Anolis sagrei: one gene and its partner. The protein of the gene in region 1 purifies or fractionates together with the protein of each later gene. This does not show direct contact. Links are inferred from orthologs where the notes say so. Each region holds a gene or a part of one and is shown on either strand. Other genes may lie near its edges.

What was found.
Region 2: the proteins of PEX5 (region 1) and PECR purify together in Homo sapiens (affinity purification with mass spectrometry; 3 studies listed by BioGRID, with this or other methods). This does not show direct contact. The link is inferred for Anolis sagrei from reciprocal best matches to the Homo sapiens genes PEX5 and PECR.

What each region holds. Positions count from the first base shown.
Region 1 is NC_090022.1:198,465,994-198,482,070, forward strand, and holds the start of PEX5 (peroxisomal biogenesis factor 5), read left to right. Parts: upstream 1-7,918; 5' UTR 7,919-8,103; intron 8,104-8,677; 5' UTR 8,678-8,713; coding exon 8,714-8,863; intron 8,864-13,533; coding exon 13,534-13,569; intron 13,570-14,623; coding exon 14,624-14,756; intron 14,757-14,944; coding exon 14,945-15,079; intron 15,080-16,077.
Region 2 is NC_090021.1:226,561,709-226,577,595, reverse strand, and holds the start of PECR (peroxisomal trans-2-enoyl-CoA reductase), read left to right. Parts: upstream 1-9,553; 5' UTR 9,554-9,630; coding exon 9,631-9,751; intron 9,752-13,311; exon of another isoform or gene 13,312-13,687; coding exon 13,688-13,821; exon of another isoform or gene 13,822-15,319; intron 15,320-15,887. UniProt on the Homo sapiens protein: Participates in chain elongation of fatty acids. Catalyzes the reduction of trans-2-enoyl-CoAs of varying chain lengths from 6:1 to 16:1, having maximum activity with 10:1 CoA. Has no 2,4-dienoyl-CoA reductase activity.

The DNA of each region.
Region 1 (16,077 bases):
CATAATAGTCACATCCCCTTTTTTTGGTGAAAAAAGGAAGGGAAAGTGCTACCATTGTGCAATGAAACATACTGCTTTGAAATGCTCTAGTGAAAGATGGGATATAAATATTTATTTCTTTTTTCATGTTTAAATATTTATATCCTATAACAGGCCTTTTCGTCATGGCCCACACAAAAGGGGGCTGTCACTAGACTGGTGGTCCCGGGATTAGGGAGGCCCTGAATGGGGAACATTTTAAGAACTTTTATCTTTTTTTCTTTAGGGTGGGTCTTTATGGGAAGGGCTCTGCACTTCCACACCATCCAATCCCACAAGCCCCACACTTCCATGCCATCCAATCCCATAGAGTGCAGGGTCTATCTAAATCCATCCTACTTTGGGGCAGGTAAGAAGAAGCTGCGTCATCCTGGCCTTATCCTTCTTGGTTTCTCATCTTCCCTGTGTTTACACTAGGGTCAATCCAACTCCCCGACACAGAATTCAGTCCCAACTATGACTATGGGGAGGGGGAGGTACCCTTCTATGTCTGATCTGTGTTATTCCCAGAACATGCTGCTGGGTTAACAAATTGAGGTAGGACAGACTTAATCCTTCGATGTCCTTTGGATGACTTTGGAATCTGCCCTGCTATTGTCTACATGTGAATGATCTCGAAAAGGCTGAGGTATAGTTCCACATCATCTGGAGTTCCCTTTAGTCCTAGCCACTGCTGTAGAACATGAGAAAAATAAGAACATTGGATCACCTTTTCAGAAGATATAAAATCTAGTTGGTACTCTAAACCTTATCCTGGGTGGAACACACTGAGTCATTAATCTGTGGAAAACTTAAAGAATCTTCTTCCCTTGGTCCACCTTTATTGCATCCATCAAAAAGGGTCAAAATCCCCTGTGAAAACTTTTGAAACCATTTATTTCTTCCTCAGGCAAAAATTAACAGATGTTACACTTGCTTAATAAAAAAGAAGGCAAACTGGATATGATTAACTACAGGCAGGAGACAAATCCTTTGGAAACAAAGTCCTAACTTCAGGTGGTATACATACACTTTTGAGGAAAAAGAGGTGATAGGTTCCATCTGCACTGCTATATAATGCAGTTTCAGTCTGCATTATATGACAGTGTAGATGAGGCCATAGTTCTCACTCTGGAAACTGCAAAAAACTCCCCCCCCCCCAAAAAAAACAGAAACAAAAAAATCTTAATTTATTCAATATTCAAGAAATCACATTGGGATAACAAAATATGTGGGGGTTTTTTATTTTGGGAGGAGAGAAAGACCAGTCTACCTTGACAGGGATAAGAAGGGGGCAGATAGAGTCAACACTGAGTCATCCGGAATAAAGGGAAAAAATAATTTAACATGCGTCTATTCAGTTCAAATAGGGTAAGAAAAAAAAAGAAAGGGGTTCTACCTTTTCTTTTTCATTGTTCAGATACTATAAGTAGAAACATTTCTCTTCCACTTCTGCATATTGTTATTTTTATATACTGAGTTCAGCTCCTAGAAATGCTATTATAGTTCCTTTGACAGTCTTCCTCCTACCCGGTAATTGCAAGTTTTGGGCTATATTTATCTACCAGACTCAAAGAAAGGAAGGAAGCCCTTTCAGGCATGCCAAACCAAAAATTACTTTCTGCACAGGGCATACAGGTAAAGACAGCATATTGCAGAGCAGGGGTCCTCAAACTAAGGCCCGGGGGCCAAATACGGCCCTCCAAGGACATTTAACTGGCCCTCGCTCAGGGTCAGCCTAAGTCTTAAGCCACTTGAAAGCACGGGACAACAACAACAATCCAATCTCATCAGCCAAAAGCAGGCTCATACTTCCCATTGAAATACTAATAAGTTAAAATTGTTCTTCATTTTAATTATTGTATTGTTTTTTGCACTACAAAAAATATGTGCAGTGTGCATTGGAATTCATTCATATTTTTTTCCAAATTATAATCCGGGCCTCCAACAGTTTGAGGGACTGTGACCTGGCCCTTGGTGTAGAGGTTTGAGTGTGGGACTAAGGCTGTAGAAGCAGGATTCAATTTCTTGTTCAACCATGGAAATCATGGCCCCTCCTACACTGCCATATAATACAAAACAGGCTAATCCACATTATCTGCTTTGAACTGGATTATATGAGTCTACACTGCTATATATAATCCAGTTCAAAGCAGATAATCTGGGTTTTATATGGCATTTTAGATGGGGCTATAGTCTTGGGGAAAAGGCTTATAAGGTCTTGGTTGGTGGATCCTATCTGACCTCTAGTGGTGGCAAAAGACCAAAGCACTTTCACTGCGAGTGCGCAAGTGTGAACAGACAAATCTTTCACCCATTCCAAAGTGGTCCTTAAAACAACACTCCAGCTACTTTGATTGTGGATGGCACGGTGCCTACGTGGGACACAATTGCATACATACAGGATTCAAAATAAATTACAATAAAAATATTAACTACAAACAAAGAGAACCAATTAGCTCTAAAAAGAATGTCCAATTTATCAATGTGTCTTTCAGGCTATAGATATTTAGGAATAGTGTGAACAAATGACATAGCACACTGAAATATATTGTTATATTTTTAAAAGCTAAAAGACTGGTCAATCATTATTAGGCAGACTAGCTGTTGTCAAAGCTCACATTTTACTGTCATTTCTATTTCAAACTGCCCTTATGTTCATTCCACACAGCCCTATATCTCAGAATATCAAGACAGAAAATCTCACAATGTCTGCTTTGGACTGGGTTATCTGAGTCCACACCCTGATAATGTGGGATTTTTTTCCTTGACATTCTGGGATATAGGGCTGTGTGGAAAGGCCCTCAGAGGGGCATTACTGCTTTTCTTCTTGTCTGAAGACAAAAATGAGAAACTATCAAAGACCTTATAATATTTCTGGTATGTACATGGATGGAAATAGTAAAAGCATGGAGGGGGGGGGAGTTAGAGAATTTATCAATACAGAATTGGATACACAACTAAAGTTTCCAGGGTCAGATGAACTACATCCAAGGGTATTAAAAGAAGTAGTAGAAATAATTTTAGAAACAATAGCAATCATCTTTAAGAATTCTCGGAGAATAGGAGAGGTTTCAGCATATATTGTTCCTATCTCCAAAGAGGGGATAAAAGAGGACCCAAACAATTACTACCCAATCAGCCTGACATCAATGACAGGAAAGATTATGGAGCAGATAATTAAATAGACAATCTGCAAACATATAGGAAGCAATACCATATTCAGAAAAAGTCAGCATTGGGTTTCTCAAAAACAACTGATGCCAGATAGAGTTACAAGCTTGGTAGATGAAATGAATGCTGTAGATGTAGATTGATTTCAGCAAGTCCTTGGACAATGCTACAGAAGTGAATTGGGAATGGGTTAACTGGCAGAACCCAAAGGTGCTTACAAATGGCTCCTCTTCAGCCTGGAAAGAAGTGGCCAGTGGAGGTGCCACAGAAGTTTGTCCTGCGCCCAGTGCTAAAAAAGCAGAGCACGATTTTGCGGGCCCTGCCTGAGCAGAAGCCGGTGAAAAGCTAAAAGGAGGGTCAGCTATGCCTGGAGAGACAATAAGCACCAATAAAAGTTTCCGTATTTCCCAATAAATCTCACCAGGATGAAGCAAAGCCACTGAAGTTTATTTTCTATTCCAGCTGGAAAGGATGATGACTGCAGTATCATGCAAAGGAGCAGACATGACTCCTGAGCAGGGAATTACAGAATATAAACAGTTTTCCCAATTCAAATTTCCCACGCCCGCCCCTGAGCCAGCTTCGCTGTGATTGGTTGTTATGTCAGTGAGCCAGGAGGAGCGGCCAGCGACCGATGTGGCTCATCCAATCAGAGCCCAAGCCCCACTTCAGTCCATTCATAAAAAAGGAGGTTCATTCATAAAAAAAGGAACCCAATTCATAAAAATGATCAGATTGGCCTGATGCTAGCCTGGGTTTTAGGGGTGACACATGAGGAATTTCCGGGGTCTGCAAGCACCATCAGGCACCACTCGAGGCGACACACAAAAGAAAAATGGTACTGCTGTCATGCAGAACCATGGGACCATGAAAAGGTCCTAGGTTTCCACATGGGAATTTTGGATGAGAAAGATGGATCTGAGGGGTGTAGGGGTCCATTCAGCAGAAATTGAGATAGTAGTTAGACTTATAATTAATCAAGAAAGATGATAATGCTGGTCTGGGGCCGATCAGTTAAGTCACGGATACCGAAACCGGGGTGGGTCCCCGTATCCACGGTATAAAGGATCACCCCCCGGGACGCTGCTGGAGCGTCCCAGGCAAGCCAGCAGGGCTGCACGGCTCGGGAGAGGGAAAATTTATGGTTTAAGGCAGAGTTAGAGTAAGTAAAGGACACAATGTCTCAGGCAGGTAGCAGAAAGTTACTAAAAGGATACTTCTTTATTGGGGAATTGTTACAAAGAGGCCAAGGAAAAGGGAGGAAAAGGAGAATCTCTTGTTGTAGCTGTTGCTAGTGCCTCTGTCCTGCAGATACTTGGAAAACTCATACTCCCAGGAACTGTGGAACCCCCTGCTGTGGTCAGATTAATTTGAAGGCAGGGGTTTCTGTGTTAGATGACACTTTTCAACATCTTTATCAATGGCTTGGATGATGAGTCAACAGCGTGATGCAGCAGCTAAAACAGCCAATGTGAGTCTAGGTTGCATCAATAGGCACATTCCTAATAGCCTGGTCAAGATTGAGAGAAGTCAGAGTCCCACTCTATTCTGCTTTGGTCAAACTTCACCTGGAATGACCTACACCAGGCATGGGCAAACTTCAACTCCCACCATTCCTAGCAGTCTCAGGCCACTTCCTTTCCTACAGCAGGCGTGGGCAAGCTTCGGCCCTCCAGGTGATTTGGACTTCAATCAACTCCCACAATTCCTAATAGCCTGGTCTAGATTGAGAGAAGTCAGAGTCCCTCTCTATTCTGCTTTGGTCAAACTTCACCTGGAATAACCTGGGTCCACCGCAATATGATTTTATGATTGTCTCTGGCAGAGTGATAAAAACTCCAGGTAAAGGTGCTTAGTGCCCAGAATCAGGAGTTTTTCACCCTCAGGGCCCAGTCCACTCATGCACTGTAATTTCTTTGTACTGGAGCATGAAAGAGGCCTTGTTGTGCCAGTAAAACACGTGAACATGGAGAATGCAAGTGCATGGGAACAAGTCTTGACCTGCTGCACAGCACCTATGTGTGGGTGCTTGGCCCACCTGTCCTGGCATGCAGTGGAAAGGTATGGGGTGCCTTGGTGTGATATGGGAAGTCCTTGCCTGCTGGGTGCATGCATTAGCATCTCCTTATTTTTATCTGTGAAATGTTGTTGGGGAAAAGCTCATTACGTTGATGTGCCTGCTGTGGGGTTTGTTTGTTTGTTTGTTTTGCTCAGTTACAAGAACTTGCACCCACTGGTATCTTGTTGTATTTCTGGCTGGATTTGGTCTTTTCTCACTATCATATAATTCAGTTTGTGAATCCAGATTATTTTATTTGAACTGGATTATCTGGCAGCAGGCCCTTTCAGACAGACCCTATATGCCAGGATCTGATCCCAGGTTTTCTGTTTATCCTAGATTACCTGGCAGTGGGGGACTCATATAAACAGATCCTGGGATACAGGGCCTGTCTAGAAGGGCCCTGAGGATGGATCTATACTACCATATAATCCAGATTCTGAATCCGGATTATCTGTTTTGAACTGGATTATCTGGCAGTGTAGGCTCATATAATCCAGTTCAAAGTAGATAATCCAGATTCAGAAACTGGATTATGTGGCACTGTAGATGGGGCCTGACTTCAAAGGGAAGTAGCAGCCAATAATGAAAGGACCAAGGCAGTGACATCTCCGTCCCATCCTCTGTTCAGATATCAGCCAGCACGCCAATACCTTAAATCAATAAACAGCTTTCTAAGATCTACAGAGCTACTTGCAGAAAAACCTCACTAGGCGAAAGTCCAAAAGTGGCAGGCTAAAACCCGGAACCTCAATCCATGGCTGATACCGGATGAGAAACTTCCTCCTTTTCACACAGAAGACTGGGCGACTTGGAAGGTGCTGAACAGACTGCACTCTGAATCTGGATTATCTGTTTGAACCGGATTATCAGGCAGCATAGGCTTGTTGTTGTTAATTAATCTTTTATTAAAGGATAAAATAGGGGTACATTAAGGGGTTATTTCTCAACTTATTTAAAATGCACAATGAGTCAATAAGAATGAAGAACCACCACCACCAGTAAATTGTGAATTGTGGGAAAAGGGGGGGGGGGCGTAAAGAAAGTAGAGAAGAGAAAAAAGAAAGAAAGAAAAAAGAAAAGGTGAAAAATCTGAGAAAATAGAGGACTGTGCACAGTAATCTTCAATTTCCTCTGATGTAGTCCATTCAGGATATCTTGATATTCATATCTATTTCCCTCTGTCTCTCCTCATCGTATCTTCATTATATCTAACTTAATTTTAAAGAAGTTCTTAATTGCTGTCCAATCCGTCTTTCTTATCGTGGGTTTCAGGTTTTTCTTGAGTGCATTTGTTAGACTACCCATATTCATTATGTCGAGGATTTTTATTGTCCACTCTTCTAGTGTTGGGATCTTTTCGCTCTTCCATTTTTGGGCATTACTATTATATCATCATCATCATTATTATTATTACTATATTACTGACACAAAACACAGCATGTGACAGCAAATGAGATCTATATGCTGGATTTCTTATCATAAAAGCAAAAGGCGAACACTTCCCAAGCGTCTAGGACTGTGTGATGTATTTTCAAATGATGCGTGCAGATCCAAATAAGGTGGCCTTTTGCAGTTGACAGATCGTGATTTTGTCAATGTTTATTGTTTTCAAATGTCGGCTGAGATCTTTTGGCACGGCACCCAGTGTGCCAATGATCACTGGGACCACCTGTACTGGTTTATGCCAGAGCCTTTGAAGTTCGATTTTGAGGTCCTGATAACGGCTGAGTTTTTTCCTCTTGTTTTTCCTCAATGCGACTGTCACCCATTATGGCGACACCAATAATCTAAACTTTTTTATTTTCTATAATCATGATATCTGGAGCATTGTATTCCAAAACTTTGTCAACCCCACAGTATTTTGCATGTTCATTTTCCACTACCTTTGCAGGTTTATAATCCCACCGGTTCTTTACTACTGGCAGGTGGTACTTGTGACATTGCCAATCCATACTTTCTTTTTTAACACGAGTGTGAGTTCAGGAGTATTGCTCTCCAAAACTCTGTCAGTCTGAATTCGGAGTCCCAGAGGAGTTTGATGTGTTCATTCTCTGTAACTTTTTCCGGCTTATGATCCCACCAGTTCTTTGTCGCAGGCAGATGGTATTTGTGGCACAGGTTCCAATGAATCATCTGAGCAACGGTGTTATGCCTCTGCTTGTAGTCTATCTGCGCGATCTTCTTGCAGCAGCTGAGGACTTCCTTGCAGAGTCTACATTTGGGATCTGTTGTCGACTTTTCAATTCTGGCTTTGTTGGCATTGGTTCGAATGCCTCTAGAACATGGCCATATAGCCCGAAAAAACCCACAAGAACTGAGTGATTCCGGCCATGAAAGCCTTCGACAATACATTGGTTCGAATGGCTTGTTCTTGGGCTGCCAAAATCAGTCCCTCTGTCTCCTTTTTCCAAGTTCTATTTGTGAGCCATATCCATGTTTTTTCTTTGTCAATTTGGTTCTCAGTTTTTCCCAGGAACTGTCCATGGAGAGCCTGGGCCCGCTTCATGGTTCATGGTTCATCCCTCTCCTTCCAGGAGGCCTGGCTCTTTAAGGGCTGGCCCCGCCCCTTGCCTCTTTTGGCGAGTCTAGCCAGGTAGGCCTCACGGGGGCGGGGACAGAGAGCGAGAAGGAGGCGGGGCTTGCGCCTCGAGGGAGGGGCGGGCCCCCCGTGAGCCAGAAGGAGGGGCCTCGCGCAGTGGTCGCCAGTCCGGGCTTCGCGGCGGCTGGAGCAGAAGCAGAAGCAGGAGGGGCCGAGGCCTTGCAAGCTTGGCGAGTGGCTGTCTCCCCGGCGGTGCAGAAGAGAAGCTCCCGAGCCCGGAGATCAGGGCAAGGCAGAGGCTTGGAGAGAGGTATGGAGGGAGGCTGGGGAAGGCCCAATCCGCGGCCTGGCTTGCGCCTCTCGAGGGACCACTCCCTCCAGCGCGAGCCCCAGCCCCCTGGAGGAGCTGCATGCTTGGCAGAAGGGACTCAGTGCTTCCCAACCTGTGGGCCGCAGGGACCTATTGGACTTCATTTCCCACAATTCCTGGTCGTGGGCCGAGCTGGCAAGGGCTTCTGGGAGTTGAAGTCCCAAATACCTGGAGCGCCAAAGGTTGGGAATCTAGACCAGGCATGGGGAAGGTTGGACCCACTGAGTGTTTTGGACTTCAACTCCCACCATTCCTAGCAGCCTCAGGCCCCTTCCTTTCCCCCCTCAGCTGCTTAAGCGGCTGAGGAGGGAAAGGAAGGGGCCTGAGGCTGCTAGGAATGGTGGGAGTTGAAGTCCAAAACATTCAGTGGGTCCAACTTTTCCCATGCCTAGTCTAGATGGATATAGAGAGAGCTCAGCTTCCCACTGGGCCCCTCAAGGGAAACCCAGCCAAGCAGGTCACATGATCTGGCTGAGCAGACCCCGCAGTGCAGTTATGCCCCTTCCTCCAACAGGTGAGGAGGGTCTCCCTTTCTCCCCCGTCACTTGCCATGGCCATGAGGGAGCTGGTGGAGCCCGAGTGCGGGGGCTCCAACCCCCTGATGAAGCTGGCCAGCCACTTCACCCAGGACAAGGGCCTGCAGCAGGAAGGACTACGGGGCACCCTGCCATGGCCTTCTGGGCCACCCACAGCCGAGGTGGTAAGTAGAAGGAAGCTGTGGGGTTGTGAGAGGGTGTGGGGAGAGTGGTGTGGCTCAGACCATCCCAAGATTGAGGCTAATTAATAATAATAATAATAATAAGTAGTAGTCAAGGTGATCCCAGTGGTGATCGGCACACTGGGTGCAGTGCCTAAAGACCTTGGCCTGCACTTAAACACAATCAGCACTGACAAAATTACCATCTGTCAGCTGCAAAATGCCACCCTACTCGGATCTGTAGGCATTATTTGCCGATGCATCACATAGTCCTAGACACTTGGGAAGTGTCCAACATGTGATCCAATATAACAACCAGCATAATGATCTTGTTTGCTGTGTATTAATCTTGTTGTGTGTATTAATCTTGTTGTTGCCTTTGACTGTGTGGATCATAATAAATTGTGGCAAGTTCTTAGTGGGATGGGCATACCAAGCCACCTTGTCTCTCTCCTGAGGAATCTGTACAAGGACCAAGAAGCAACAGTAAGAACTGACCACGGAACAACAGACTGGTTCAAGATTGGGAAAGGCGTACGGCAAGGCTGCATCCTCTCACCCAACCTTTTTAACTTGTATGCAGAACACATCATGCGATGTGCGGGGCTTGATGAATGCAAAGCTGGGGTGAAAATTGCTGGAAGAAACATTAACAACCTCAGATATGCAGATGACACCACTCTGATGGCCGAAAGCGAGGAGGAGCTGAGGAGCCTTCTAATCAAGGTGAAAGAAGAAAGCGCAAAAGCTGGGTTGCAGCTAAACGTCAAAAAAACCAAGATTATGGCAACAAGAATGATTGACAACTGGAAAATAGAGGGAGAAACCGTGGAGGCCGTGACAGACTTTGTATTTCTAGGTGCAAAGATTACTGCAGATGCAGACTGTGGCCAGGAAATCAGAAGACGCTTACTTCTTGGGAGGAGAGCAATGTCCAGTCTCGATAAAATAGTAAAGAGTAGAGACATCAGACTGGCAACAAAGATCCGCCTAGTCAAAGCCATGGTATTCCCTGTAGTCACCTACGGATGTGAGAGCTGGACCTTAGGGAAGGCTGAGCGAAGGAAGATCGATGCTTTTGAGCTGTGGTGCTGGAGGAAAGTGCTGAGAGTGCCTTGGACTGCGAGAAGATCCAACCAGTCCATCCTCCAGGAAATAAAGCCCGACTGCTCACTGGAGGGAAAGATACTAGAGACAAAGTTGAAGTACTTTGGCCACATCATGAGGAGACAGGAAAGCCTAGAAAAGACAATTATGCTGGGGAAAGTGGAAGGCAAAAGGAAGAGGGGCCGACCAAGGGCAAGATGGATGGATGGCATCCTTGAAGTGACTGGACTGACCTTGAAGGAGCTGGGGGTGGTGACGACCGACAGGGAGCTCTGGCGTGGGCTGGTCCATGAGGTCACGAAGAGTCGGAGACGACTGAACGAATGAACAACAACAACAAATCTTGTTGTGTTTCAAATAATAATAATCATCATCATCATCTTTATTTATACCCTGCCACCATCTCCCCAAAGGGGACTCGGAGTGGCTTACATGAGGCCAGGCCCAGTGATACATTACAGCAACATAAAATATAAACAACAAAATAACATCACAATAAAATAAATAAACCAATAAAGTAAAATAAACAGTACAAAGTAACATAATGGAAAATAAAACACAGTGGGTGGGCCAAAGGTACAACATAAAATGATAGTACACTGGATGAGAATGATGATGATGATGAACATGGAAAAATACTGTGGGACTTTTGAATCCAGACTGACTAAGTTTTGGAACACAATACACCAGACATCACAATTGTGGAAAAGAAAAAAGTTTGGATTATTGATGTCGCCATACCAGGTGACAGCCGAATTCATGAAAAACAACTGGAAAAACCCAGCCGTTATCAGGACCTCAAAATCGAACTGAAAGGCTTTGGTATAAACCAGTACAGGTGGTCCCAGTGGTAATTGGCATACTGAGTGCCATGCCAAAAGATCTCAGCTGGCATTTAGAAATATAAACATTCACAAAATCATCTTACTTGGATCGGCGCGCATCATTCAAAAATACATCACACAGTCCTAGATGCTTGGGAAGTGTTCGACTTGTGGTTTTGTGATATGAAATCTAGCATATAGATCTCATTTGCTATGACGTACTGTGTTTTTGGGTCAGTAAAATAATAATAATAATAATAATAATAATAATAATAATATTTCTCACCTGCCTCTTCTCATGGCTGGAGGTGGGTTACAAAACAATTGTTTGTTTTAGTATGTATTTCATAGAGATACGTTTTGTATGTAACTTTTATGGAGGTACGTTTTAGTGTGTATATTTGTAGTGTTTTTGTTGTGTTTATGTATTTTAATTGTTTTTTAACCTGCCACGAGGAGAGGCAGGTAATAAATGAAATAATCATAATTAGTTATTATTACATGGTTCTTAAAATTCCATTGATTTATTCTCTGCCTCTCTGAGGCCACCACATTCTCCAGATAAATGGAAAATGGATAGTCGACTTTTGATTTCAGGAGCTGGTCTGCTGATAGTAAGAGATTAATCATAGGTGATCACTTTCGGCCGAGTATGAATGTCTTCTCACTATATAACATGATTTTTGTTCCTGGGTTATAAATGTCATTTCCTAATTGGTTCTATCATAAACATATGGGGGGAAAAACTTAGTAAACTGCAAAAACTTTGCTCTTGTGGGACATTCTGCTATATCACATTTTGCTATTGTTTTCCAATGAATATCTCAACCAATTCAACATAGTTTGTGGCAGCCACCAAAACAAAGTGTATAAGAGTATAACAACTACTTTCAACATTAAGTACCATACAATTAAACAGGAAATAACACTTTCAAACCAGGAACAGCAAAATTTTCAAATTATGTTACATAGTGTGATAATTTACTTTAATTATACCCTGCCTTTCTCCCCGAGGGAACTCAAGGAGGCTAACAGTCATACATTTTGATCCATTTGAAACAAAGCAAATACATTTTTTTTAAAAAAAACCCAGTATTTTTCGTGTTAAATTCAAAATACAGTTAAAATACAACAAAATGTTTGGTTTTTTAAATATCACATCCCCCAGAAATCCAACCCACAACCTTCCCAGCAACATGCCCCTTCTAGAGGTAGAGTCTTGGCCGTGGATCAGTGAAGACCTATTCTGGATCTGCATGGTATTTCACATAGATTTCTAGATAGCAGGTGGTCCCAACATGGGTTTGCTTGACATGCCTTCCTCTTGTCATGTTTCACCCTTTCACTCTCTCTTTGTACCTCTTCAAAATCCATAGAACTGTTGGTAAGAGCTGACCTCCAGTTGCAATGCTTGAGAACCCCGGCTTTTTAGTTCTCTGTATTTATACCACATTTTTAAAGGTTAGCTTTAAGCCCGTTTTTAAATCTCTCTTGTCTGCAAACATTGGTGAGAGACCAAGCCACAAAGGGCTTAATTTACTTCTGGAAGGAAATGAACAGGAGTCTATTTTAACATCCCACTCTAACTTGCCCCATGCATTGTCCAAAATTGGCTGAAAATCACAAGTGTCTCTGAAGTAGCTCCCTAAGCAAGCCCATCACTTTGGAGGTGGAATGGAAATGGGGGAGTGTCCTCCAGATGCACTGTACTTTGGAAATAAAGTTTAGATGGGCAGTGGAGTGTATCTGTCTGATGGGATCCTCACTAATGTTGGAATCCAAGCCCACCCTGTCCAAATCTCAAGTCCTCAACAAGGATCAGTTAGTTTAGGATAGGCTAAGGGAATTCCCTTCACCCAAGTCTCCTATATGACAGTTGGGGGTGTATCTTTTTCATCTCCTCTCTTTCTACTCTCATTCTGATTGGTTATTTATGAATACTTGTCTACTGCAAGCCTTTTTTTAATTTTCTGCCTTCTTACACTTTAGTATGGAGAATATAATATGTATTGTGTGCTTTGAGATCTCTCTCTGCTTGTGTGTCAGGAGAGATGTAATGATTGAGTTTTTTCCCCTTTTTCCCCTTAGGAGAGATGGGTGTTAGAGTAGCTCAGATTCAGTTCTTCACCATGAAGAAATGTAGTTAGTTCTTTATTATTGTAAATGACTTTTATTGTAAATGATTTGTGATTTTTTAAAAGATCGGATTCTGCGTGTTTGCTTCGTAAGCTCTGAAATCTTTGCGGCCACATCACATGGCACTGCATGTTCTGCTCGCCTTTGGGCTGATTGCTCAACTATTGGTATCCAGTTTGATTTTTGGATGCTCTGCTTTATTTTAGGGTAGCTTTCCCTAACAACTAGACCCAAAAGTCGTTGTTGGTGTTCTGCCAAATATACATTAATGTCCTGATAGCTTTGCCACTATTTTCTGAGGAAATGAGCCTGAGAAGGCCTACCTGAGTTGTTCATTTAAGGGCATTAAATTCTTCTCAGGAAGATTTAAGAACCAGTTATATGGGAATCCTAATGGTTTTGCAAGAGTCTTTCTAAACACAGAGATCACTGAGATTGCAACAGTTTTTGTTACAAGTAAGTTTGTTGAGCTCTACCTGGGATGATGTGCAAATATTGTCTCATCTGTTGTAGGAAAAGAGGGGTCCTGTAAAATTTGGAATGTGCCACCTCTCAAATGTTTCTTTTTTTATGAGTTCTCGGATAACATTCCCTTTTCTTCTGTAGATATCTAAACCTCTTGGAAGAGCCTCAGAAGACGAAGTAAGAACTTCAATGATTTTTTTCTCTTTCCTTCTCGTTCTGTTGTGTGCTCTGTGTTTTTTAGAGGGGTGGCTTTGTTAGCTATTGCTGTAAAAACAAAGACTTGTGAGTTTATATTGACTACAGTTTGCTTAATCCTCACAAGATTAGACAGTCATTCTCCCATTGTGGTAGGGGCTAGGGCCACAAGATCATAGCAAATGTGGGAAAGCCCAAATAGCCCCTCCCCTGTTCTTTCTGGGACACGAGGGGCCCAAACCATGCTGCTCTGCCCTGCTCCCTCCCCCAGCCTGCTAACTGGGCCACAGTAGTTGCCACAGCTCCACGGCCTCTTTGCAGCGTGGCTGCCATCTCAACCTCACAGGCCTCAGCCAGTAGATTCTAGGAGGAAAAGCAAGCCCTATGCATTGACATTGCTACCAGTCCACAGCCTACTGCTTCCAGGGGAAAACAAAACCAAATAAGAGAGCCAGAAGCATTTTTTCCTGTTTTTCCTGGAATGAAGCAGGTGGCCATACAAAACATACCAATAAATCCTCTAAGCCAAAACCCTTGTTTCTCTCCCCCCTTCCCCCCCAGCAAGACTTGAAAAACAAATGGGAGAGAGGCTTGGCTTAGAGGATTTATTGCTGTATTTTGCAGTGCCACCTGCTTCATCCCAGCAAAACAGGGGAAATTGCTACTGGCCCCTTTTCTTGTTTTTCTGCCCCCGTCATGGCCCAGTTAGCAGGTGAGGGGTGTGTGTGTATGAGGGAGGCAGGCTCCAGCTCTACTGCTGCCCTACATTTTTAATAAGAACATATGAGCCTCATTACATGTTCACGGACTACCTCACTCTTACCAGACTTGCAGTCCATATGTAGGGCGGCAGCAGAGGTGGCACCAAATAACCCATAAATAAGCAAAGTGACAAAAAGTGAAATCCGCAAAAGTGGAGGGCCAACTATACCATAACAAATGAATTAGTCTTGGAGTTGCCAACACCCTTAAACTATTCTGCAGTATTTACATACACTCTATTTGTACCCCCCTCCCCCCGAATGCTTTTTGGTAGCTGGTGGCAGAGTTCCTTCAAGAGCAAAATGGCCCCCTGCTGTCTCGTGCACCACAAACATTCAAGATGGATGATCTGTTGGCTGAGATGCAAGAAATCGAGCAATCCAGTTTTCGGCAAGCCCCACAGAGAGGTAAATATTACACAGGGGATGAGAGCATGTGATGATGGCATCCATTCCTGTCCAGAGGAAGGATTTCTCTGGGAATTGGAAGGAAAGTTAGTGAATTTAGGAAACAGCGTAAGGTGGGGAATCTTGTGTACTGGTACTACTCTTGCTAAAGTTTGAACACCCATGTTAACTTGTTCTCTGTCCCTCAGCTCCAGGGGTTGCAGCCCTGGCTCTCTCTGAAAACTGGTCACAAGAGTTCCTTAATGCTGCCGACAGTGTGGTTGATGTTTCTACGGATTATAACGAAGCTGACTGGTCCCAGGAGTTCATTGCTGAAGTTGCAGGTGAGGCAAGATTTTGAGGGCCAGCAGTATCTCATGAAGGATTTTATTTACCTGTCTGGCAGAATGGGCTTGGATAGGATGGCCCACATGGTCTCTTCGAACTCTATGATTCTATGACTTAGCTCCATTTTCCAGCCAGTCTTATGAGGGGCATTCTTTAAAGATTTCCCCTGACCCACTTCTATTTATCACAGGATGTGGAAACTGCACATGTGTAATGATATAAGTCTCTATGGGTTACATGCCAATTTACAACTCAGAACTGATAACAGTCTTGTTTTTACAAGTGCTGGAGTGGTGTGAGGTTTGATAATGGACTCAGTGAAATATAGAGCAGTCATCAAGTTCCTTTACTTGAAAGGCCACACACCAAAGCAGACCTTCGATGAGATGAAAGAGGTTTATGGTGATGATTCCCCATCATATGATGTAGTCAAGAACTGGCATTGTCAGCTCAAATGTGGCCGCACTTTGGTGCAAACAGTTCCAATTCCAGGGCGACTCCACTCTGCTACTGATGAACACACCATCCAGCAAGTGGAGGTCGGCATTTTGGAAAATAGCCTCGTAACCATTCGCCACCTTGCCCAAAATGTCAATATTAGTGTGGGGTCCATGGAAAACATCATCCAATATCATCTTCACATGCATAAGGTTTCTGCTCACTGGGTTCCCTGGCTGCTCACACCTTTTCAGAGGCAGGAATGAGTTGAAAGCTCTTGGGCTCTATTGATGATGTGCCATGGAAACCAGGAGGATTTTTTCAACAGATTGATCACACAGGGTGAAAGCTGGATCCATCACTATGATCCTGATACTAAAGGCCAGTTGATGCAATGGGAATATCATAACTCACTCCCTCCAAAGAAGGCACATGCCCTACTCTGTACAGACAAGATTATGCTCACAGTATTTTGGGACCAGCACGGAGTAGTATCAATGGATTTCCAAGCAAAGTGTACCATGATCACTGGGGCATACTATGCTTCACTGCTGCG
Region 2 (15,887 bases), on another chromosome or scaffold:
ATTGCTTCCAAAAATAATGGCTTCCCTTTTAGCATTTAGTTTCTAATCTAGTGCTATTTTCAGCTTGCATGCATGCTTTCCAGAGCCTTCTGTGCCATTGCTTTAGTGAAAGACCATCCACAACTCCCCTTCCCCAATGTGGTGATTTCCCCCCAACATCTCTTAGAGGGTCTTTCCAAGCAAAATATATTAGTAAAGTTTTGTTAAAAAAAATAAAGTAAGGCTACCTGTAGCTCATTGGCCAAACATTCCTCTCTCGTGGTTAAGTGACATTTGTATAAACAGAAAGGAATACAAAGGCCTAGGCTTGCAGCATGCTCCTTCCTCTGAGCAGGAAAAAGTAAACATTAGAATTCAGTTTCATTTAGAGCTCCGTTATGGCTGACTTCTCTGGTTGGATCAGTCTGCAGTGCCTTTCATGTTCCTTGATTTGTGTTTGGGCAATGCTACATTTGGTGGTCCTTAACAACCACCATATGAGACTACACAGAGAAGCCACTGAACAGATATATAAACTTTACTTGTGTAGCTTCTAACTGACCCAACAACCTCTGAGGATGCCTGCTATACATGTGGGTGAAACTTCAGGAGAGAATGCTTCTGGAACATGGCCATACAGCTCGGAAAACTCACAGCAACCCAAAATAATAATAATAATAATAATAATAATAATAATTTATTATTATTAAGTTCTGTACTACTGCATGGCATGGAATTGGACTAAATGGTTCTTGCAGTCCCTTTCAACACTGTGATTCTATGAATAAACAGTGCCAAAGATGGATATCTGCATTTTTAAGCAGCCCCTCAATAAGATTATCATGCAAGAGAGAATAGTAAACAATCATTGTTCAAAATAAATTAACCATTATTTTCCCAAAAGGAAGGCAATATCACAAATAATCTTGCCAGAATGCCTCCAACATAGAAAAGCATCTTTACAGAACTGGCTCACCCATAGAATTAGCACTCAGAATGATGAAGACCTAGTTTTCCTAGCTGAGATTAGTGCTTTCCCTGGGATTAAAGAACTGAATTTATATAGTCCATTTGAGATATGTAGGGCATCCTAGGGAAACAAATGGTGCTTTATATGGCTGTGTCATAGCAACATGACAGGCGAGGAATCAACAAAGCCTAATGGAATATGGCATTTAAAAAAGCAAGCAGAGGGGACAGAATGATGGTTGCTGAACACAAGAAATGTGAGAGCAATCAACCCTGGAAACAAACCTGGTGAGTTAGACACTGTCACCACTCCTTCCTGTGTATTTATTTGTGCACTGACAAATCTAATATGCTTCACCCTGTGCAGCACTAGTTTCTGCACAGGCATAAGCCACACCCAAAGCACAGCTATGCTTTTAATCCGCTTCAATTTTAAATAAGCTAAGGCTCTTGTGGCCTTTCTCATGCAGTGTGCAATTGGAAGTGGCAAATCTTATCCATTGAAAATATCATTTTCTGTTCCAGAAAAAGGATGATCATAATCAACATCTCCAATATGAATTCTCTCCCTATTCTACTTTTATAGACTATGCATGTTATTACAAACACAGCCATATCAGAAAGGTCATAAAGAATGATAATCCGTACCTAAAGAGAGATTGACTATTCCTTTTGAAGGCAACGGCTGATGCCATACAAAAAAAAAGGAAGCATAAGCTAAACAAAAGCATTGTTTTCTGCTAAAGTTCTACAGCTGTCTTCCTAGAGAGTAAATCCTACTGATTCTGAATAGACAAGTATAGAATTTTGCTGTCAGAAAGCATTTTATATTAGATGACTTGTGGATGATTCGGACTAGTTGTCAACTGAACTAGATTCCAGTAGGGTGATGCTTATGGGAATGAGACTGAAGATAGGAAGCTACAAATCAGCTTGGATAGCAAAGTATACACAGTCCTTGAGTTACATACATCTGACTTATGAATTACTCCTAGTTAAGAATGGGGGTGAGACAACAGGAAGTGAGAGAAATCCACCCCTGAAAGAGTTATCACAAGGAAAGTTGTATCAATTGAAGATTTATTAGTAATACTTTTTTCCACAACGAGCCATTTTTTTTTCAAAATCCAATTACAAGGACAGAAAGTGAGGTGAAATCTTCTGATCAGGGGCACAGACACCAAAACGAACACCACAGGGATGTTAATCCTTCCCTATGCCATCCAAAGCTAAATACGAGAGTTACCCGGAAAGTAAGATTGCATTTTTTTAAAAATACAAAGAATGAATATATTTTAATAAAACTTACATGGATTGTAGCAGAGGTATTACATTATTTTCCACATAATCACAATTTAGTTCAATACATTTTGTCATCCGTGAGATGAATTTTTGTTGACTGAGTCATAGAAGTTTCCCTCCATCTTTTTCAGCCAGTTCGTCACTTCAATTTCCACCTCCTCGTTGTCAGAAAAGTGTTTTCCACCAAGATGTTCCTTCAATTTAGTGAATAGATGATAGTGACTGGGTGCAAGATTGGGGCTGTGAGATGGGTGGTTTAAAACATCCCAACCAAATGAAGTCAACAACTCTTGTGTTGTATGAGCGGTGTGTGGACGTGCATTGTCATGAAGGAGACAAACTGTCGTACAATCTCACGACATTGTTTTGGATGGCTTAGAGAAGTTTCTTCATGGTCTCACAATATATTCCATACCCAATTTGTCACATGTTATCTTGACATTACGTCCTTTCCATAAACTGATACAATTTTGCAATGAATCGCAGCAGTGTGTTCATACCCTTAGCATTTAGGTAGCATACTGCAGCACAAACTTTGCACTTGGAGGGAAATGGAATGAGGACGCTCATCTCTAACCTTCACCACAACACCAGTTGATGAGCTACTGATGGCTGACACTGTTAGTTCGCTTTCGTTGGCTTCCCGCTACACAGCAGTGGTACCAACTTACCCTGCAAAAATTCCCCACTAGAGCTATGTGTCTTCTAATCATACTTTCTAGATAACCTTTGTACATGCATTTTAAAAATGTACCTGTTCTGACTTACATACAAATTCAACTAAAGAACAAACCTACAGAACCTATCTTGTTTGTAACTTGGGGACTGCCAAGACTAAATTGGCTCAATTTCATTGATTCTAGGGAGACTAACAGCACTTGATAAAGCATTATTTAATTCAAAAGATACTTCCAAGACTAACAGTATTTCTATTCCAGAACAGTAGTCTTAAAACTGTACTGAGACTATGAGTCTGGAGAAGAAGGTCTGAATTACCCATTATTTATTTATTTATTTATTTGGAGTGCTTCTACCCCGCCCTTCTCAACCCCCTAGGGGGGACTCAGGGCGGCTTACAAAAGGCACAATTCTATGCCCAACAGTTCACTTAATACAATATACAAAATACAATATAACAACAACTAGTTAAAACAATCAAATTAATACAATAGCAGCAATAAATAAATAATTTGGGCATGAAAATCCACTGTAGCACTCTTTCAGCCTGAAAATCCACTGTAGCACTCTTTTAGCCTAGTAAAGGTAGAAATTTCCCCTTGACATTAAGTCTAGCCATGCCCGACTCTAGGGGGTGGTGCTCATCTCCATTTCTGAGCAGAAGAGCCAGTGTTGTCCATAGACACTTCCTAGGTCATGTGGCCAGCATGATTGCATGGAGCACTGTTACTTTCCTGCCGAAGTGGTACCTATTGATCTACGTGTTAAAATCATATGCAGTCTTTAGAAGGAATATAGAGTAAACATACAAATAGAAAACATATCAATTTATTTTTCAAGTTGCTCAGTCTTCTAAAGACAAATTGTGGCTATACAAAGGAAACACTGCATAAAGAGCAAGTATATGACCACCAAGATTTGTCACACTGCTCCAGAACTGAAGTTTGAGCTTGTGGATTGAGACTGATTTGTATATACTATCAACCCAAAGATGTGATGACGCTTATGGTGAAATACACATTTTTAAAATTCCCGTTTGTTAAAGGAATAATGATTTGAGCACAGTGTGACAACAAATTTCCTTGAACAGATACTAATATCTGGGGAGCATTAGCCTCCAAATAACTATGGAATCATAGAGCTGTGTTGGACTGCAAGGGCCATCTAAGCCAGTGGTTTTGGACTTGTGGGTCCCCAGGTGTTTTGGCCTCCAACTCCCAGAAATCCCAGCCAGTTTATCAGCTGTTAGGATTTCTGGGAGTTGAAGGCTAAAACATCTGGGGACCCACAGGTTGGGAACTACTGCTAGGCCAAAGATCTGTAATGCAAGAATTCAGAGCTAGATCACTCCCGAGGGATAGTCATCACCCTTCTCCTTAAAAATCTTCCAGAAAGGAGACTTCACCTTCCGACATAGTCTCTCCAACTGTCAAACACCTCTTGCCATCAAAGGCTCTTCCTAATGTTTAGGGCAAATCTCTTTTCTTCCCATTTGAACCCAAGGCTCTGTGCTCTAGCCTTTGAAGCAGCAGATAACGTCTTCTAAATGACATCCTTTTGTATATTGAAAAATAACTATTTTATCACCACTCAATCTTATTTTCTCCAAGTTAAACATAGTCAGCTTCATAAGCCATTTCTCAAAAGGCTTGGTTTGAGATCATTTACCATGTTGATTCTCCTCCTTTGGACACTACTTTGGCAATATCCTTGAACCGGACCCAGAATTTTGCATAGCATTACAGCTGGAGTTTGAGAAAGAACAGAAAAGCACCGCTACTTCCCTCGTTCCATTGATACAGGCCGGAACTGGACAAAAGTATGATAGCTGGGACCCAATGCTACGCTAGTTGTGTAACGCAGCTCTGAATTAAGGAAGGGAAGAGGTGTGTGAGACACTGGAGCGAGTAAGAGACACAGCTGTGTCAGAGTCCTGGGAACATTGCTCGCCACAAAGGGGGAGAGGAAACATTTCTACCCCGTTTACCATCTTCGTAAGCCATTGTTTATCATTTAACAGTAAATAACCTCTAACATCACTTGCCTTAAGCATTATGCTTGGCTGTTTGTTGCCCCCCCCCCTTTCTGTCTTCCCCCCTTTCTAACCCGCTTTGCTCACGTCTTCCCTTCATTAATTCTGCCCCGCGTTGTGCAACCAGCGTAGGCTCCCAACTACTAGAGTAGGGCCCCAGCTATCATACTTTTCCCCAGAACTGCACGGGCTTTTTTTTTTGCTTGCTGCATCACACTTCTGATTCATGTTTAGCCTGCAGTCTACTGGGAGCATTTACTATTTCAAATTACTCATCCAATATTTGTACATTTCACTTATCCTGCCTAAATATAGCACCTTATGTTTATCCTGCTCCAATCTGTCGAGTTGGAATACTGATTCTGTCCTTTGGGATGTGAACAACTCTGCCTATTTTTGTGCCATATGTGAATGTGTAATACACATTTGTTTAATCACACAAGGGTGCACCTACACGGGAGAATTAATGCAGTTTAACGGCATGTCTCAGTGCTATGGAATCCTGAGTTTTGTAGTTTGACAAGGCCCTGGGACTCTTTGGCAGGGAAGGCAAAAAAATGTTGTAAAACTACAACTCCCATGATTCAACAGCATGGAGCCATGGCAGTTAAAGTGGTGTCAAACTACATTAATTTTATATTGCAGATGCACTCCAAATCAGTTATAAAGATGTTGAACAACACTGGACAGGGATTTGAAATATTCCATTAGTTATTTTTCTTTTTAATGGAGGGAAAGGTAAATGTTTTCCCCTGACATTAAGTCCAGTTGTGTCCGACTCTGGGGGTTGGTGCTCATCTCCATTTCTAAGCCGAAGAACCGCTGTTGTCCATAGACACCTCCTAGGTCATGTGGCCAGCATGACTGCATCGAACACTGTTACCTTCCCGCCGGAGCGGTACCTATTGATCTACTCACATTTGCATGTTTTCGAATTGCTAGGTTGGCAGAAGCTGGGGATAACAGCAGGAGCTCACGCCGCTCCCCAGGTTTGAACCTTTACATCAGCAAGTTCAGCAGCTCAGCAGTTTTACCCATTGTGCCGCCGGGAGCTCCTTTTAATGGAGAGATCAGGCTAAAACAACTTATTCATAAACATATTGACATGCTGAGTTAGCATGCCACTGATCAATTGTCCTGGGCCAGTGTACCATTGGGGTGTTATGGCCGACTCATATTAGATATATCCAAATTCAATGACTGCATATCTTGGGGAACACACACACAACCAACTGTTTTCTACTACAGCTGGCATTATTTCCTTTTTGATATTTTAATATCATGCTCCTACATTTATGCATTCCAGTTATATCCCATTTTCTATCAAGTTCAGAAGGCAACATACCTTATAACATGATTTTACAAATTACAACAAAAATACAAGAAATGCAATATAAATTAAATTCATTGTGATATTAAACCATTCATCAAAACATCAGAGCAACACATAAGCAGTAAAATACTTAAAGAATTAAAATAATCACTGTCAATTCACAAGAAATCATATTATAGTCAACAAAGCTTACTCTCAGATAAGTAAATAGCAGTGCAGAGCCAGGAATTACTACTGAGATATGAGTCCCATAGAATTCAATGGAGGGATTTATCTTCAGCTAGACATGTATATAAGTATGACCTCATAGGCTGGTCCTAAGATGAGGCAGACATTTTAGGGAACACAGATTAAATTGCATAAATAAATCCTGGGATTTGGTGTTTGGTGAGGCAACAGCACTCTTTAGCTTTGTAAAGCTAAAACTCCCATGATTTTATAGCAGAAATGGGCAAACTGCGGCCCTCCAGGTGTTTTGGACTTCAACTCCCACAATTCCTAACAGCCAGTAGGAGGGCCGAAGTTTTCTCATGCCTGCCCTATAGCATTGAGCCATAGCAATTAAAAGTGGTGTCAAACTGCATTCATTTGCCAGTGCAGATGGACTCCTGGTTTGCTTCTGCACCTGGAATGGTGCAGCAACATGCTTTCAATGCCCTCCCACCTTCCGCAAAAAATGACACATTCTCTACTCTTGATACTCAAGAGTATCTCAAAAAACCAGGATGCAACACACAGGGAAGTTCCAAGCCCAGAAGGGCATCTGTTGTTAGTTCCCTCTTACAAAATGATCCAACCTAATTGCGGTAAATTCAATTTACTTAATTGACAGCAATTGACTTAAGGAGGAGGAGCTCCACAGCTCAGGCACAAGAGGGCATCCCTGGCTCAAACCTCACCTGCAGCCACATCCCGCCCACCACACTCCTCATTACAACTCCACACCATGTAAGCGGAGTAAAAGGTGGGGCCATATGACTCTCCCTTTACTTGCAAGGTACTCCTCAAAGGCAATGCACAGAAGCATGGGTGGGAAGGGACTGCAAGGGCCATAGAGCTCAGTATCCTGTCATACAGGAACACACAACTAAAGCACTCCTGAGAGATGCTCAGGGCCCTTCCACACAGCCATATAACCCAGGATATCAAGGCAGATAAATCAACAATATCTGCTTTTGAACTGGATGGTTTTAGCCCACACAGCCATACAATCTAGTTCAATGTGGATTGTATTCAGGTGTGTGGAAGGGGCCAACCTCAGTTTAAAGAACATGTTTAGAAAGGGGAGGAGGGGGAGATAAGAATTACCTCTTCTTTAAGATATTGAGGAAGGAGGTTGAAGAATTAATAAATTGGCCAAAGGATTTCATCCAGAAGGAAGAAAATAGAGATTCCTCCAAGGAAGATTCTCTCTGCTCATTCACACTGTAAATCCCATTTACAATGGGTGTGTGTGTGTTGAAGAATTATTCGGAATGTTCAGAGAGGAAAGGTTAAGAATTAATTATTCTTTAAGGTGTTTATAAAGGGAAGATTCACAATTAGTTTTTCTTTAAGGTATTTAGTAAAGAGGACAGGGGCTGAAGGATTAACTAATGTTGGGTTAGTTTTCAGTTCTTGGTGTTATTTACTTATTGTTCATTTGGCTTGTTTTGTTTTTATTATGGCATTAAATGTTTGGAAACTGCCCTGAGTCCCCTCAGGGAGATAGCGCTGGTTATAAATAAAATTATAACGATGCCCCATGCAGTCATGCTGGCCACATGACCTTGGAGATGTCTACGGACAATGCCGGCTCTTCGGCTTAGAAATGGAGATGAGCACCACTCTGTAGAGTCGGACACTTCTAGACTTAATGTCAAAGGGAAACCTTTACCTTTACACATCTATGGCAAGGCATCCACAGAGATTGTGAGGTCTGTTGGAAACTAAGCAAGTAAGATTTATATATCTGTGAAATAATGTCCAGTGTGAGAGAAGGAACTCTTGTTTGTTGGGGGCAAGTGTTACAATTGGCCACCCCAATTAGAACTGAATGACCTTGCAACTTCAAAGCCTGGTTGATTCCTGCCTGGGGGAATGCTTTGTTGGGAGGTGTTAGCTAGTATAAATACCATTTAGAAGAAGGGGGTGTAAAAGAATGAATTCATTTACCCCCAAAAATGTTCAATCTCAAGTGAATAGACTCTCCAACTCAGACCTTTTCTACTCTGCACATGGACATAGGCCAATCAATGCAGTACAAATCCCATTTACAAAGGAGGAGAGAGACCCACCTTGATTAGCACCAAATGGCCTTGCAGCTTCAAAGCCTGGCTGCTTCCTGCCTGGGAGGAATCCTTTGTTGGGAGGTGTTAGCTACTATAAATCCCATTTACAGGAAGGGGGTATTTAAAGAATGAATTCATTTACCCCCAAAAATGTTCAACTTCAAGTGGGTAGACTCTCCAACTCAGACCTTTTCTCCTCTGCACATGGACACAGGCCAATCAATGCAGAGCAAATCCCATTTACAAAGGAGGAGAAAGAGAGAGACGCACCTTGATTAGCACTGAATGGCCTTGCAGCTTCAAAGACTGGCTGCTTCCTGCCTGGGGGGGATCCTTTGTTGGGAGGCATTAGCTACTATAAATCCCATTTACAGGAAGGGGGGCTGTTTGAAGAATGAATGAATTTGCCCAATAAAATGTTCAACCCCAAGTGGGTAGACTCTCCAAGTGAGATCTTTTCTCCTCTGCACTTGGACACAGGCCAATCAATGCTGTACAAATCCCATTTACAAAGGAGAGAGAGAGAGAGAGGCACATCTGGTGTGTGCCCCCCCCCCCCCGCCTTGCTTTGACATACAAAGAGTGCAAAGAGGAAGAGCTAGAAGAGAGAGCGTGGAAATGGAAACTCCAGTGGAAGGGCCCAAGGGGGGGGGGGGGCTTACCTGCTCCTCCTGCAAAGGTCCTTCCTCCTCTTTCTCCTCGCAGGAACAATGCAGCCCAGGAAGGGGCTCCTTCTCTCTCTCTGTCTCTGTCTCTGTCTCCGTCTGCCTGAGAAAGAGCAGCCCCCACTCCTGGTCCTCCTCCGCCCCTGAGTGACTCCCATTGGGTACCAGCTGCAAGGCGACCCCCGCCCCTTCTCTCTCTCATTGCAACGCATTGGGTGGGCGTGGCTTCATGGAGGCCACGCCCCTTCTGGAAGGATTCCTACGAGGAGGGGCGTGGCTTACTCGAGGCCGCGCCCCCTTCGGGAATGGATTCCTAAAAGGAGGGAGGGAAAAGAGGCGGGCCGTCACGTGACTCTGCTTCAAGCCCGCTTTGGAGTTTTTTGGGCTATTGGAGGATTCGTCATGGCTTGCGGTGGAGGGAGCAGCGTCTTGGCGGCGGGCTTACTTCGCAACCATGTGGCCATCGTGACTGGAGGAGGCACCGGCATCGGGAAGGCCATCACCTCAGACCTCTTGCAACTCGGTGGGCAGATCAGGAAGGGGCGCTGCGGGGCCAATTCTCCGCCAGGCCCGGGCCAACTTCGGCCCTCCCTCCAGGTGTTTTGGACTCCAACTCCCACAACTCCCTCCAGGTGTTTTGGACTCCAACTCCCCGGCTGTTAGGAATTGTGGGAGTTGGAGTCCAAAACACCTGGAGGGAGGGCCGAAGTTGGCCCAGGCCTGATATACACGGGTGCAGTTTGACACCACTTCCACTGCCATGGCAGCCAAACTGGTGCCATATTTTTGGGTCTGAATGTCTCCTGTGGTTTGGACTGGAGAACAAGCCCTATGAGGAGCGGTTTAAAGAGTTGGGCATGTTTAGCTTGTAGAAGAGAAAGCTGAGAAGAGACATGATGTGAAAATATGTGAGGGGAAATCATAGGGAGGAAGGAGCAGGTTTCAATGGCATCAAACTACAATGTTCCACCTGAACATTAGGAAGTACTTCCTGACTGTGAGAGCTGTTCAGCAGTGGAACTCTCCGCCTCAGAGTGTGGTGGAGGCTCCTTCTTTGGAGGCTTTTAAACTGGATGGCCATCTGTCGGGGGTGCTTTGAATGCGAGTCCTGCTTCTTGGCAGAATGGGGTTGGACTGGATGGCCCACGAGGTCTCTTCCAACTCTATGATTCTGGTGTGCAGGATTCAAGTCCTGATTGGCTGTGGTAATCCCTTGGGTGAGTCACAATCTCTCAGCCCTGTGACAAGTTTGCCACTGGGCCGCTCTGAGTTAGAAGCAGCTTGAAGGCGAACGCATTGATAAAATACAAGAGACCCGCTTTGGGTGGGAAATCAGACGGGTGTCACTCCTACCATATTTAATGGCATGAGTCTTTACATTTTATAGGATTTGCACATACTGGGAGCCCCCGATGGCACAGCGAGTTAAACCACTGAACTTGCTGACTGAAAGGTCGGCAGTTTGAATCTGGGGAACAGGGTGAGCTCCCACCGTTAGCCCCAGCTTCTGCCAACCTAGCAGTTCGAAAACATGCAAATGTGAGTAGATCAATAGGTACCTCTCGAGCGGGAAGGTAATGGCACTCCATGCAGTCATGCCAGCCACAAGACCTTGGAGGTGTCTACGGACAATGCTGGGTCTTTGGCTTAGAAATTGAGATGAGCATCACCACCCCCCGCCAAGTCGGACACAACTAGACTTAATGTCAAGGGGGAACCTTTTCTTTTTCACATACTGAGATGGGGTGTCAAGAGGAAACTTTTTGCAGAAAACGTTCTGTATAGACAAAAGCCGTGGGTTGCATTTAGTGAAAGAAGAAGGTGTTGTTTTGGCAATACTGTCATATGAGAGGCTGAAGACATGTGGGTGCAAACCAGGGATTGCAAAGAAGGCTAATTTGCATAAAAGGTGTGGGTGTGGGTGTGTGTAATGATAGCTTTCAGAGTAACTGGGGTCCCTTAGACACAGCTTAATAAAATCCCTCGTTTTCTGCTGTGAACAGGAATCTATGGTAGTTCAAAGAAATATTGTGGGATTTTCTGCCTTGATATTCTGGGTTGTATAGCTGAATGGAAGGCCCCTGAGAGAAAACGTTAACCAGTGGTTCTCAACCTAGGGTCCCCAGATGTTTTTGGCCTACAACTCCCAGAAATCCTAACAGCTGATAAACTGGCTGAGATTTCTGGGAGTTGTAGGCCAAAAACATCTAGAGACCCCAGGTTGAGAACCACTGGGTTAGCCCCATCGCCACTGCCATATAATGCAGTTTTGTTTTGCAATTTGTGAAGGCCCTCATTCCCACTCTTCCCAATGTAAAATCCAGTGAGCTTTCACCAGGGTTTGAATCATGACCTTTGACCATTAACACCTACTATACGTGTATGCATGTGTGTGTGTTTTCAGGTCACCTGTCAATTTATGGCAACCTTGTGGATTTCATAATATTCTCTTAGACAAGGAAGACTCAGAGGTGGTTTTCCATTTTCTTTCTGTGAAATATATTCTACCGCACTGCTAAACTGTGGGTCCTGGCAATTTACCCCCAACAATTTTAGCCTGATTTTAGAAATTTAAATCTTTTAAGGATTTAATATGTTAGTAATTATGTGGATTACATTATGTCTTGTTCACTTGTGCTGGTTTATAATTTATTGAGTTGTTCTTGATTTGTTTATTGATTTGCTTATATATTACTGTCAGCATTGAATGTTTACCATTGTGTATTTTGTAGTGAGCTTCCCTGAGTCCCTTTGGGGAAATAGGACAGACTATAAATAAATTTGTATTCTTTCATTCATTCAAATGGGGTCCCCAGAGCTCAATGTTGGACTAACAGTTAATATTCTGAATATAGCCTAGATATCTACAAGAATCCGTTAGCACAACATGCAGTGTTTATAGTGTAGAAAAGGTTTCAGCTGTTCAGACCATCCCCGAATTACAAACATCTGACTTGCAAACAACTCATAACTAAAAAAAAGGGTGAGATTACAGGAAATCAGAGAAATCTACACCTAGGAAAGGAAATTCACTCCGGAAAACATTATCATGGGGGAAAGGTGTCTCTACTGAAGCTTTCTCGCCAATTCTTGTTTCCACAATATTTGTTTTTCAAAATTCAATTATCACAAGAACAGAAACTGCGGTGAAATCTTCTGAACAGAGGCACAAATAGCAAAAGAATGACCACAGGGTTGTTAACCCTTCCCTATGCTATCCACAGCTAAACTCTCTCTGTGTGAGAGAGAGACAGAGACAGACACTTAAAAATGTGCCTGTTCCGACTTACAAACCTACAGAGCCTATCTTGTTCATAACTTGGGCGCTGCCTGTATTTTACAAAAATGAAATGCAGCCTGTTTAGCAAGGCTTGTAATTGCTGTTTTATTTCCAGGAAGTGTTTGATTTTATATCTATTTTATATACCTATAAATATCCAGGATGACATAAACATTTCTCAGGCAGAAAGGGGTTGTGAGAGGGAAAAGTTTAAGAAGTCCTAATCTATAGCACCTGGTCTCCCAACCAAGTACTTGCCAGGACTAACCCTGCTTAGCTTCCAAAAGCTGGTGGACACTTTCCATCCGAAACATTAGGCTGGCATGGGGGAAGGCTAGTGGAGAACATGACAATTGCAAAATACGAGCATTCTGGAAATGTTTGCTGCAAAGCAAAGACAAATAGTGTTCTTATTTGAAAGCTGCATTTAAAACTTCCTCAACAAGTGTATTGGTGGCCCTTGATATCCACAGATCCCGTATCCATGTATTCAACCATCCAGAGTTTGAAAATATTAACAAAAATTCCCAAAAGCCAGCCTTGATTTTTGACATTTTATATAAGGACACAATTTTACTACATCCTTATATGTATATAATGGGACCTGAGCATCCATTGATTTTAGTATCTATGTGGTATCCTGGAACCAAACTCCAGCAGATACCAAGGACTTGGGGTACATGGTAGATTATTTCCTACATAGTGGGATATTGAAATAATGTTTGAATTCTACTTTGTTGGCTAGTTATTACTCATTTGCACTGTCACTCAGTTGAGATTTGCCCTTACAATGTAGGCCACCTACAACATTGCTGAATCTGTAGGCAGGTCAATTTTTACAAGTTGTGAGGCAACTCTATTGCTCAAACTGCAAAATATGTTTATCTATCCCATGTTTCTCTGAAGTAGCTTATTAAACTGGTTCCTCAAGTTGCTGTAATGGAAAGTGAACATGGAGAAACCTCAGATCTACCTTGGATCTAAAGTGCTCTTGTGGTTACAGAAGCCTTTTGATCTGATCCAGCCATGTTTGCGATTTTCCAAAGTTGCTGAGAGTGTTTGAAGTTTTGGAAAACGATAATGGAGGCTTATCTCAATCTGCATGCTATCCGTTATCCTACCCAAAGCATCATTCAACTGCTACTAATGCCCAATATTCATCTGGTTTTGTCTTAACAGGTTGCAATGTAGTCATAGCCTCTCGCAAACTTGACAGATTAAAAGCCGCAGCAAAAGAGTTGGCTGCCAAAATTCCATCCTCAAACCCTGCCCAGGTGACTCCTTTACAGTGCAACATTCGCAAAGAAGAAGAGGTAAATAACATGTTTGCTTTTGGGACTCAGTGGCTTACAGTAAAACCAATACAATACAGGGGGTTGCTGTGAGTTTTCCAGGCTGTATGGCCATGTTCCAGAAGCATTTTCTCCTGATGTTTTGCCCACATCTATGGCAGGCATCCTCAGAGGTGGTGAGGTCTTTTGGAAACTAGGCAAGTGAAGTTTATATATCTGTGGAATGTCTAGAGTGGGAGAAAGAATTCTTCTCTGTTGTTGCAAATGGCCAGCTTGATTAGCATTGAATGGCCTTGCAGCTTCAAAGACTGGCTGATTGCTATCTGGGGGAATCCTTTGTTGGGAGGTGTTAGCTGGCCCTGATTGTTTCATTTCAGGAATTCCCCTGTAGTTTAGGTGTTCCTCTTTATTTACTGTCCAGATTTTAGAGGTTTTTTTAAATACTGGTAGCCACATTTTGTTCATTTTCATGGTTTTCTCCTTTCTGTTGAAATTGTCCACATGCTTGTGGATTTCAATGGCTTCTCTGTGTAGTCTGACATGGTAGTTGTTAGAGTGGTCCAGCATTTCTGTTTTCTGTGTCCAGGTAGGGCATCGGGTGCTCTTCTATGGCTGACTTCTCAGGTTGAATATTCTGCAGTGTCTTTCGTGTTCCTTGATTGATGTTTGGGCATTGCTGTGTTTGGTGGTTTCTATGTAGACTTGTCCACAGCTGCATGGTATATGGTAGACTTGTGAAGAAGTGAGAGGATCCGTCTTGTCCTTTGCTGAATGTAGCTTTTGTTGGATTTTCTTAGTAGGTCTGTAGATTGTTTGTAGATTGTGTTTCAAATTGTATTGTATCAATACAATTTGAAACCTAAAAATGTACAAATTTTAAAATAGAATTAAATATTAATTGTATTATAAGTGGTCACATCCAATTAAAAACCTATTCATAGCTATATTACTGTAGCTTTGGTTATGCAATCAGTTGTATAATGGAAAAGTTACACATTCATCTATATGAAGTAAATATCAGGGCCTGTATTTCAGAGGAATGAGCTGGCAAAACCACCTCTCAATATTTTTTTGTCTAAGAAAGTACAATGAAACTCATAGTGTCACCATAAATCATCTTGAAGGCATAAACATACATGTATTAACTCATACCTCTTTTTTAATTAAAAAACCATTTAAAAGAGCAGCTTCAATAAGTGACTTTGACTTATGTTTGGTTATGTTTTAACCATTGTGTGACAAGTAACTTTTACGATTTTACAAAACTTGTTGGGGCTTAGCAGCAAGATGCTGGAGATTCTGCCTTGGAGGATGTGGGGAATGATGTATTTTTTACTGAGTCTGGGTGTGATCAGGCTGAAACGCAGACAGGAATGCAGGCTGTAGATGAGAGAGCAGGGCCAACAGCTGCAAAAGAGATAGAGGATATTTGAGATTCCCTTTCTCTTGAGAATCAGCCTTCTCGGCTTTCTTGGCCTGCAGAGGATGCAGAGTTGGCCAGTGATATGAGCTTAGGCCTCTGCAGGGAGAGAGCAAAATAAAGGTTAAATAGAAGGGCAGAAAGACTTCATGAGAAACAGTCCTGGAAACCTAGGTGCTGAAGGGATGACCACATGGCATCTTGTTTGGGTTTGAGCTTAAATTGGGTGGTATTTTCCTGGTCTCTTTGGAGTAGACAACTCTGCATTCATATCAAGCTAATGTTTAGCTCTCGTTTGCCTTTGTCCCTGGAATAGTTTTGTCTTGGAAAAGTTCCTGTTTTCATGCCTATGTTCCTGACTTCATGAATTTAATGTACCTTGCTATCTTGGACTATTGATCTTGTAATTTTGGACTATGGCTATTTCACAGAACCTTTTCCACTGCTTTTTGGGAAATGCTCATTTTCCCTTTTGTATATGCTTTTTGTAAATTGCTGTAATTAACTCATACTGAACTCTGTGGTGCTGGGTGAAAAGGTGTTCTTTCCTGGGCTAGAGTGCAACAAAACTGAAGTAAGACATGTTTTTGTTCTTTATTAGATGAAGACAGTGGACTGACTTGCATAATGTTCAGCCACAGTTCAGTACTATACGGCTAAGTTCCAT